Linked DNA regions of Cricetulus griseus. The protein of the gene in region 2 binds, or shares a complex with, the protein of the main gene of each other region. Links are inferred from orthologs where the notes say so. Each region holds a gene or a part of one and is shown on either strand. Other genes may lie near its edges.

Region 1 (3,949 bases), on a different chromosome or scaffold from region 2:
AGTACCCACTTTCGACTGAGGGGTGTTTTTAAAAGGGAAAATTGTAGGGCTGGAAGCCCCAAGATTACATAACTTCAGTAGTTACACAGGACAGGACAAAGATTGTTATGCTTCATGCAAGGTTTAATTAAGCAGGATACTGCAGAGGAAATGGGTTTGTTAATAGTCTCCTGGGCTGGGGACTTCTACAATTGATAACTATCTGATCCTCTTTGGACCAGAGGAATGTGAGTGCCATTCTAGGGTGTGATATCTGGTCTAAGGGCTTGAGTCCTGAGGCCCTTTGTTTAACCTTGTCTGCTGGACTGCTTTTTGGGAACTGAGTTTTCTTTTTGGGCTTTGGAGTCTGGGTTTTAGATTTTATTAATTTTCCCCTTTCAACACACACTAAAATTTTAAAATATTGGTTATGTACGGTTGACTGACTAACACATTTGTACAGCATCTAAGTGAAATCAGATCAAGAGGAGTTTAAGTGACTTTACAACAGGGACATCAATTATCAGGGATAGAATTAGAACCCAGCCTGGTGCTTAGTTTACGCTTTCCTCTAATCGGTCCCTTCAGAGTGGCAATGTAGACTTTCTTAATTACAACTTTCATCCCCAAGAAAAGCTAAGCCTCGATTTAGCCGTGCAAAGTGACCATCTATCGCGCACACCTTTCCCTCTCTGGAGTTCGTTTCCTTAAGGCTGCTTCGTGACACCTGAAGAGCCAAAAGCAGAATGCACGAGCACTTTTGATAGCTGGGCTCTCCCTGGAAATGCACCTCGTGCGGGCTACAAAGACGTTCGCTTTGCACCGCGCCATTTGTCTTTCGGAACTTTTTTTTGGCTCGCGCTGGAGAAGGCTAGAGCTCCCTTCCTCCCAAGGACGAGCAAACATCTCATCTAGGGCGTCTCCGGCACAGCCGATCTTCCCACACGACCGCGGCTCCCGCCCCTCCGCTGGCGAGCCTCCCAGCGCCTGCATCCAGCCCACACTTCCGCCCGTCCCCGCCTTTGTCCGTCTCCCTCTACCGACCGGCACCCGGAAGCGCGGCGGATGCACGCTGCGCACGCGCGCGAGTCAGTCCCCGCCCGGCTTCCGGTTTGGTCGGCTCCTTGCGAGTGCCGATTGGCTGCTAGGTACTCGTTGGTCTCGCGGTATCTGTGCTCACCGGCGGGCGGGCGGGCGGCGGGAACCGGTACGTGCTTCTGGCGGCCCGGCCGTGTCTCGTCTCCTTGTTGCCGGGTTGTCTCCTGTTCCCGGGACCTCCGGGCCCAGCAGCATGACGTCTGCCTTGGAGAACTACATCAACCGTATCCTCGGGCGGCTGCCCAGGCCGCGGCGGGGCGGGGCGGGGGCGGAGACCCGGGGCGGCGGGGAGGACTCGGGGTTCGGGACCGGCGGTGGGGTCATCCGGACAGACCCGGGCCCTTTTCACCCGGCACAGCTTCCCTGCAAGGAGCCTTTGGCTGGATTGCTGCAGATCCCTTAGGGCTTGTGCGGGCCAGCGTCGGGAATAAGTTGGACCGGTTTTCTCAGGGCTTGCGGTTGGCTCGAGGCTCGCATGCATAGAAAGGTGCTTGGTTCTCCAAGGTGAATTTCGGGCCCCCCCTGGAAGTGTCCATGCGATACCCTTAGAAGGAAAGCCTGGAATCGTGTTGGGCTTCAGTGACAGGCAAGGAGCTCTTAAGATCCCAGGTGAGATTTTAAATTACAAGCGCTGCTGCAAAGTCAGGACAGAAACCGTGCACCGAGCACATCTGGTACAGACAAGAAACTCAGGCGTTCAAAGCAGAGAGCTTTTAAGGAATCCAGGGTTGTTTGTACTTGGTGGCATTAATTATGACCAGGTCTTGGACTAGGGGAGGGGGCTTAACGCGCCACAACGGTGCAACATTGATAGTTACGCGTCCAGTTTTTATTTCAGAGGTGAAGACATTGGTCTGAGAAAGGAAGGGATTGTATCTCTCAGTGTTAGGGATTGGAACCCATTGCTGTTTTAAACCCAGGGTCAGATGTCAGACTCTACCCTTCTCCCATTAGATTTACTGTTTTCAGGATAGAATTGAAACAAGTTTCAAACCTTCAGTTTTGTACCTCGTGAGCAGCGGCTGTGTCGAACCTTCATACCGCCACTTTTTTCTTTTTTAAGTAATTGAGACCATTTCCTTACCAGGCTGAAAGTTTTCACTCTGCAATCTCTAAGAAATACTTTCCTTGACGCAGTTCTCAGGAACCGTCGCCGTTATCACTTCTGATGGGAGAATGATTGTGGTGAGTGGCATTTTCAGTCTGCTTCTTTGTAGGCTTATTGATTGTAAATTTGAAGTTACGTTTCTAATCTAATGCTGAGGTACCACGGTATAACCTCGATTCTAGTGTTCTTATGATCCAGCTGTTTTATTTTTTTAAGAATGTTTAAATTTAAAGTACACAGTGTTCTGCCCGCATGTATGCTGGAGATCCAGCTGTTTTGACAGACTTTTATCTCTTGGCTGTCAATACAGCTTCCCTAATAAACCTTGAAGTCTTCTGATCTGGAATGCAGAGCTGTGCCGACTAATTTTCTTCTTGCATTCTTTTTTTTTTTTTTAACCTCAATTCCTTTTGTTTGTTTTCATTTAGAGCTCTTTAAGGATTTACAAATTATGCATATGCTCTTGTAAGTTGCTTAACAATGGGGAGATCCAATCTGAGAAATGTGTATTCAGTGATTTCATTGTTCTTCAAATATTGTGAGAGTGGTTTCAGAAACTAAGTTAGCTGTGACTTCACTGGGGTATGATCTTTGGGACCATTGCCTCATCTACTGTCTCTGCAATATTTCTTTCACGGCTGTAATTTAATCCCATGTTTTCCCATTCGTGATTTTGTTTTCTTAAAGATTTATTTTTAGTTAGGTTTGAGTGTATGTCTGTTTGTTAGTGTCTGCCATGTGTGGTGGTACACTACACAAGGAGCCCAGAAGAGTTGTCAGATCCACTGGAGCTGGAGTTACAGGCCATTGTGAGCCACACTAGGTCCTTTGGAGGAATAGTATATACTTTTAACCATTTCTTCAGCCTCCTTATCTTCTTCTGAATCCCTTTGATTCTTCTTGCTCTTTAGTGAGCAACACCAGTCAAAGTGATAGACTGCCATAGTAATTGCAGTGCTTATCATATGCTAGGAATTTTGTGTTATTTAGTCTGCAAGGAATCTCAAGAAGAATTATCACTTATATTGTAGATTAGGAACCAGGCTTAGAAAAAAAAAAAAAAAAAAAAAAAACCAAGTTACTTTCACAGAGATTCAGTATAACAAGTGTGTTATAAATTGAGTTTTATTCCAAAACCCATAAAGGAAACAGGTGTCTTAAGGTTTTTTGTTTAGTGGTGGTGAGTTTACACTCTAAATTTGTCAACAGTAGGCAATTTGGAATGTGAAATTAGGAATATGTTTGTTTAAACATTGAAAGAAGTCTGTTGCATTTATCAGATAATTTACAAATAACTGATTTTTGAAATCCTCAGGTTTAAATTTCTTATATTTCTGTTAGAAAATGCTTATAGAAGAAAAGCTAAACAGAAACTTTGTATTGACACTCAGTAGTTCTGTCTTTATCGTACCTGATAAAATAATTGCATATATAATGAAGATGAGAGCACCTTTATAGGGGTTTATGATAACTACCATTTGCCAAGTGCTATAATAAATAGTCTAATTTGTTTTTCTTCCCAATTTCTACATTCCAAGTTTCTATTTATTTCATTCAGATTCTATACAATTATGGTTTTTCAGAACAGGGGGGTTTAAAGGTGTACCCAAGAGATTAACCAGCCAAATCTAAAAGAAGCTATTTCTTCAGAAACTTAAACAGCATTCATTATATTACATTTTGCTATAGCCACAAAATTTTTCCTGAGTATTTCCTTCAAGTTAAGTTCTTGATTATTTTGGTTCTACATATGTCTACTATATT
Region 2 (4,221 bases):
ATGGCACCTCTGCTCACAGAACTCCTGCCTTTCACTGGATAAACCTTTGGACATTCCAGCATATGCTCACCATACCACTCTCCTCCCCAACTCTGCTTTTGTTCCACAGCCAACTTCTGACTGCTTAATCATGCTGACTTCACTTATACCTCAGGATCTTAACAAGGAAAAATGTCTCCCACAGAGCTCTCCTGCTATTGGGCTCCTTTTAAATATTTCCTCCCCAGAGTCTTTCTTTAACAGTCAAACTTAAGTAGCAGCCATCTCCCCACCAGTATTCCATTAGGTTTAGTGCTGCCTCAAGTTTCCTTCCTCATGTCATTGCTGACATGCTTCTTTTTCCCCAAATAAATGAAGCTCTGGGAGTGCAGGAACAACATTTCTCAGACTAGTTCACCCACCTAGCCTTTGAAAAACCCTGCATAGTACAACTTACTATGCAAAATAGATTTTAGGGGTATGAGCAGCGCTTTGATAAGTAGCTCAGGCTGGTCTTAAATTTTCAGTCCTCCTGAGTGCTGGTAATAATACAAGTGTGAATTGCTATGCTTGGTTTGGCAAAGCAGTTTCTGATTAGGGTCTTGGACGCTAAGCCTGTTTGGCAAGTCTTCCAACCCTGGGCTGACAGTGTTACTTGGCAAATAAGTGTACTACCAAAAATAGTCCTGAAATCTCTTTGGTAGGTTCCAGTGTACTAACTTATATTTATTATCATGTATTAACTATGAAAAGTAATGTAAATAATGTACCATGAGCATATTTATCTAGTGTAATTATTGAAAATAACACATGTGTACCACAGAGATGGCCCAGTAGTTAGAGAGCACTTACTGCTCTTCCAGAGGTCCCGAATTCAGTTCCCAGTACCACACTAGGCAGCTTTCAAGTGCCTGTAGCCCTAGGTTCAGAGGATTCAACAATCTCTTCTGGCCTATGAGGGTACTCACACATACATACAGACATACGGATAAAAATAAACCTAATATATCTAGGCACTGGGGAAACAGCACTCAATAAAACAATGAACTGTGCATTCTGGTGGAAAGTGAGTGAGAGAATGGGAAAGGAAACAAAACAAAAAACAAGCAGAACACCTAGTGTTGCATGCAATGGAAAAAAATATGAGTACCAGAGTACAGGGTACTTTAACTTAAAATACAGTGGCCAGGAGAGCCCACTGAAAACAGGCATCTGAACCAAGATTTGAAAGAACCAGTAGTTAAACATGTGGGCATTTGGAGTAATATTCCAGCATATGCAACAACAGCAACAGAATTAACAGCACACAGGCTGGTGTTATTTGAGAAGGATGACATGCTAGAAAACGGGTACATGAGCATAGAAAAGGGGTTATTACACAGAATTTGATTTTTCTTTAATTTGGAATGAAATAGCCAACACAATATTTTCAGCAGAGAATCATGTGATTTAATGTTGTGGTGATTCTCCTGGCTACCAGACTAATAATTGATCCTTGATTCAAAGGCAAAACCAGAAATACTAATTAAGCCCCACCTGCAATGATGCCAGATGACATAAAAGTTTGACTAGGAGGTAAGGATTTCAGGTAAACAGTTCTCTTCCGTTCAACAAAAGAGTTTTGCTATAATAGCCTACACTGGCTTGGAACCCTTGACCCTCCTGTTCAGCAGCTTGAGTGTAAATTTGTGTGTGTCCAGCTTTTTATTTACTTATTTTTGAGTCAGCGACCTTGCTGTGTTAAAAAGTAAGTTAGTACACCGGAATCTACCAAAGACATTTCAGGATTACTGGTGGTACACTTATTCTTACTTGACAAGTAGGATTGTCAACCCAGAGTTGCAGGCTTGGCCTCCAACTCCTTCCCTCAAAATTTTCTTGTCAGCCTTCTGAAAAGATGCAACTACAGCCCTACACCCCTTGCCAATTTTATTTACTTATTTTAATGACCACACCAGCAGAATTGAGAGTTGGGACAGGAGGCACATTTATTTCCGTATCTGAAACTAATATCATAGTAGTGAGGGCATGATCACTATTTTACAAGAAATGCCATTAGGAGCTTAGCTTCTAACTCAAAGAAGTTTGCTTTCCCTATATGCAAAATAACAGCTCCTTTCGGGCTGTTACCAAGATTAATGGAAATTTCTCATGCAAAACAGCTAACACTCGAGCCAACGGATATTAATTACTGTTAATAATGCAAAATCAGAAAAAGAGAAAAGTAAATTGTACCAGATGGCAGAGAGAGCCTGTATCATTCATTTCCCTTGCTTCCCTTCCCATTCATTCATTCATTCATTCATTCATTCGTCCACTCTACAAACTTTTCTGAATGTTTATTTTATGCTGAATCCCTGAAGATTTAGGATGCGGAACTTTGGATCCTGATTTTTGAGGCCAAGGTTTTAAATGATTCACTGCTACTTCACAGGGCGATTCAAAGGCTGGAAACAGGCGTCCGACAGGGACACATGTATGAAACAGACGCAGAACACACGGCACGTATGTAAACAGAGGCCTGCTTTCACTTCAGCTTCTCTGTCTTTCCGTTCCCGCAGCGCCGGGAAGGTCTATTGGGAGAGGAGCGGAGGGCCGAAGAAGGGATGCCTCCCCACTTACCGCCTGCAGCAAAGCTCCCGGAGTCGCCTGCGGCTGTCCGGCTCCGGGGCCGGCCCCCGCGGCTCCCAACAGCAACTCATGTCGCGGCCGCTTGACAGGAACCAGTGGCAGCTCCGGGCCCTTGCGTTTTGGCTGCTCGATCATGGCGGTAGCCACTCTCTTCGGCGCCGCCACTGACCGCGCCGCCGGCCGCAGCCGCCGCGCAATTGGCTCCAACTGAGTTCTTCCTCCAGAACTTCCGGAGAGGAGCAACCAATCGGCTCCCAACATTCTCTTCTGCAACGCCCTCTGAATGCGCTCTTGCGATTGGTCCGTTCTTGATGACGCCACGAGGGCTCAGCTCTGGGATTGGGGCGTGTAGTGACGTCCCCCCTAGGCGCGCTGTGCATTGTGGGTTGGGAACGAGCGGAGCAGGTTAGGCGTTCTTGGCGATGAAGAGGCTGCCAGGCTAGGAGCTGGCGCGGAGTAAGTGTGCGGGGAACGAGGACGGTAGCTGTTCTAATCTGCGACTAGGTGATGGGCCCGAGCCTAGCATTCTCGGCTGACGGTCCTGCCGTGGGGGTAGGGGAGCGTTCTGGAAAGAGTAGTCCCTTGGCAGGCTAGAGCGGAGCTTTGGGATCTCTGACCGCAGGACTGGAACCCTAAGGCCGCTGTCCCTTGACAGCTAGCTGCTCTGCACAACGCCGCTTTTGCTTCCAGCGCTGTACTAGCGTGATGCCCGACTCCCGGCCTCCCGGCTTCAGTGCCGGGTTTGGCTGAGGAGGCGGACTTAGTTTATACCATTGGTTCAACCGTCTTTTTTTAAGGGCTTAATTTATGCCCCCAGACAGACAGTGATGGAGGAAGTATCCGATGGTTCCTCCAAAGCATAATTTTGTTGAGAAATCTAAGGTCCATGCTTGTGTACCAGGCCTTCTCATAAGCGATCCAAGTGGCGTTTATCGTGCAGAGCGTTGGAGGACACTGAAGAAACATGTTCTCTAACTTCAGGGCTTTAGTGTCTCTTGGGGTGTGTGTGGGAAACATTTTAAACTAATCTCACCAGTTGATTGGAAGACTAGCGAAGAGAGCGATGCCTCATGCTGTGAGTAACTAATGAGCTTGAAGGATTTTCAGAGGAAAAGATGCCTGAGCTGTTGCCGTTTGATCGGACAGTTCTAATTCGGGGAAGAGAGGAAGAAGGCAGAACGTTCTTCACAGAACAGCGTGTGCAGTAGTGCCCTATCATTTGGGAAGATGACTAAGAGGCACGAAGAGCCAGTATGCTGAGAGAGCACTTGAAGGGGGTTATGGTACGAGATAACCTGGGGGTCATGAAGATTTGCAGGAATTTGTAGCTTTAACTTTACAATTAATAGGAAACCAATGAAAATTTTGTCTCCCCTCCAGGGCGTGGGATGTGGAGGAGGAGAAGGCTTGCTCCTTCAGGCTTAATGGTGTTATGAGATTGGAGAGAGGAGGGGAGGTTTATTGGAGGCAAATGGACCACTTTGGGAGCATGCACTGTAGTTCTGATCAGCAATGTCAGTGAGAACCTAGCTGAAGGTGGAGCTGAAGACAGTTTTACAGTATCTTGGGGATAGCTGGGAAGTAAATTAGATAGGATTTGGTAATGGACTG

Evidence for each region.
Region 1: Snrnp40 (region 2) and Lsm8 share a complex: the UniProt entries of both Homo sapiens proteins name them as parts of the U4/U6-U5 tri-snRNP complex. The link is inferred for Cricetulus griseus from reciprocal best matches to the Homo sapiens genes SNRNP40 and LSM8.

The regions. Positions count from the first base shown.
Region 1 is NW_023276806.1:207,804,434-207,808,382, reverse strand, and holds the start of Lsm8 (LSM8 homolog, U6 small nuclear RNA associated), read left to right. Parts: upstream 1-1,149; 5' UTR 1,150-1,270; coding exon 1,271-1,301; intron 1,302-2,221; coding exon 2,222-2,262; intron 2,263-3,949. UniProt on the Homo sapiens protein: Plays a role in pre-mRNA splicing as component of the U4/U6-U5 tri-snRNP complex that is involved in spliceosome assembly, and as component of the precatalytic spliceosome (spliceosome B complex).
Region 2 is NC_048595.1:22,689,899-22,694,119, forward strand, and holds the start of Snrnp40 (U5 small nuclear ribonucleoprotein 40 kDa protein), read right to left. Parts: upstream 2,801-4,221; 5' UTR 2,746-2,800; coding exon 2,602-2,745; intron 1-2,601. UniProt on the Homo sapiens protein: Required for pre-mRNA splicing as component of the activated spliceosome. Component of the U5 small nuclear ribonucleoprotein (snRNP) complex and the U4/U6-U5 tri-snRNP complex, building blocks of the spliceosome.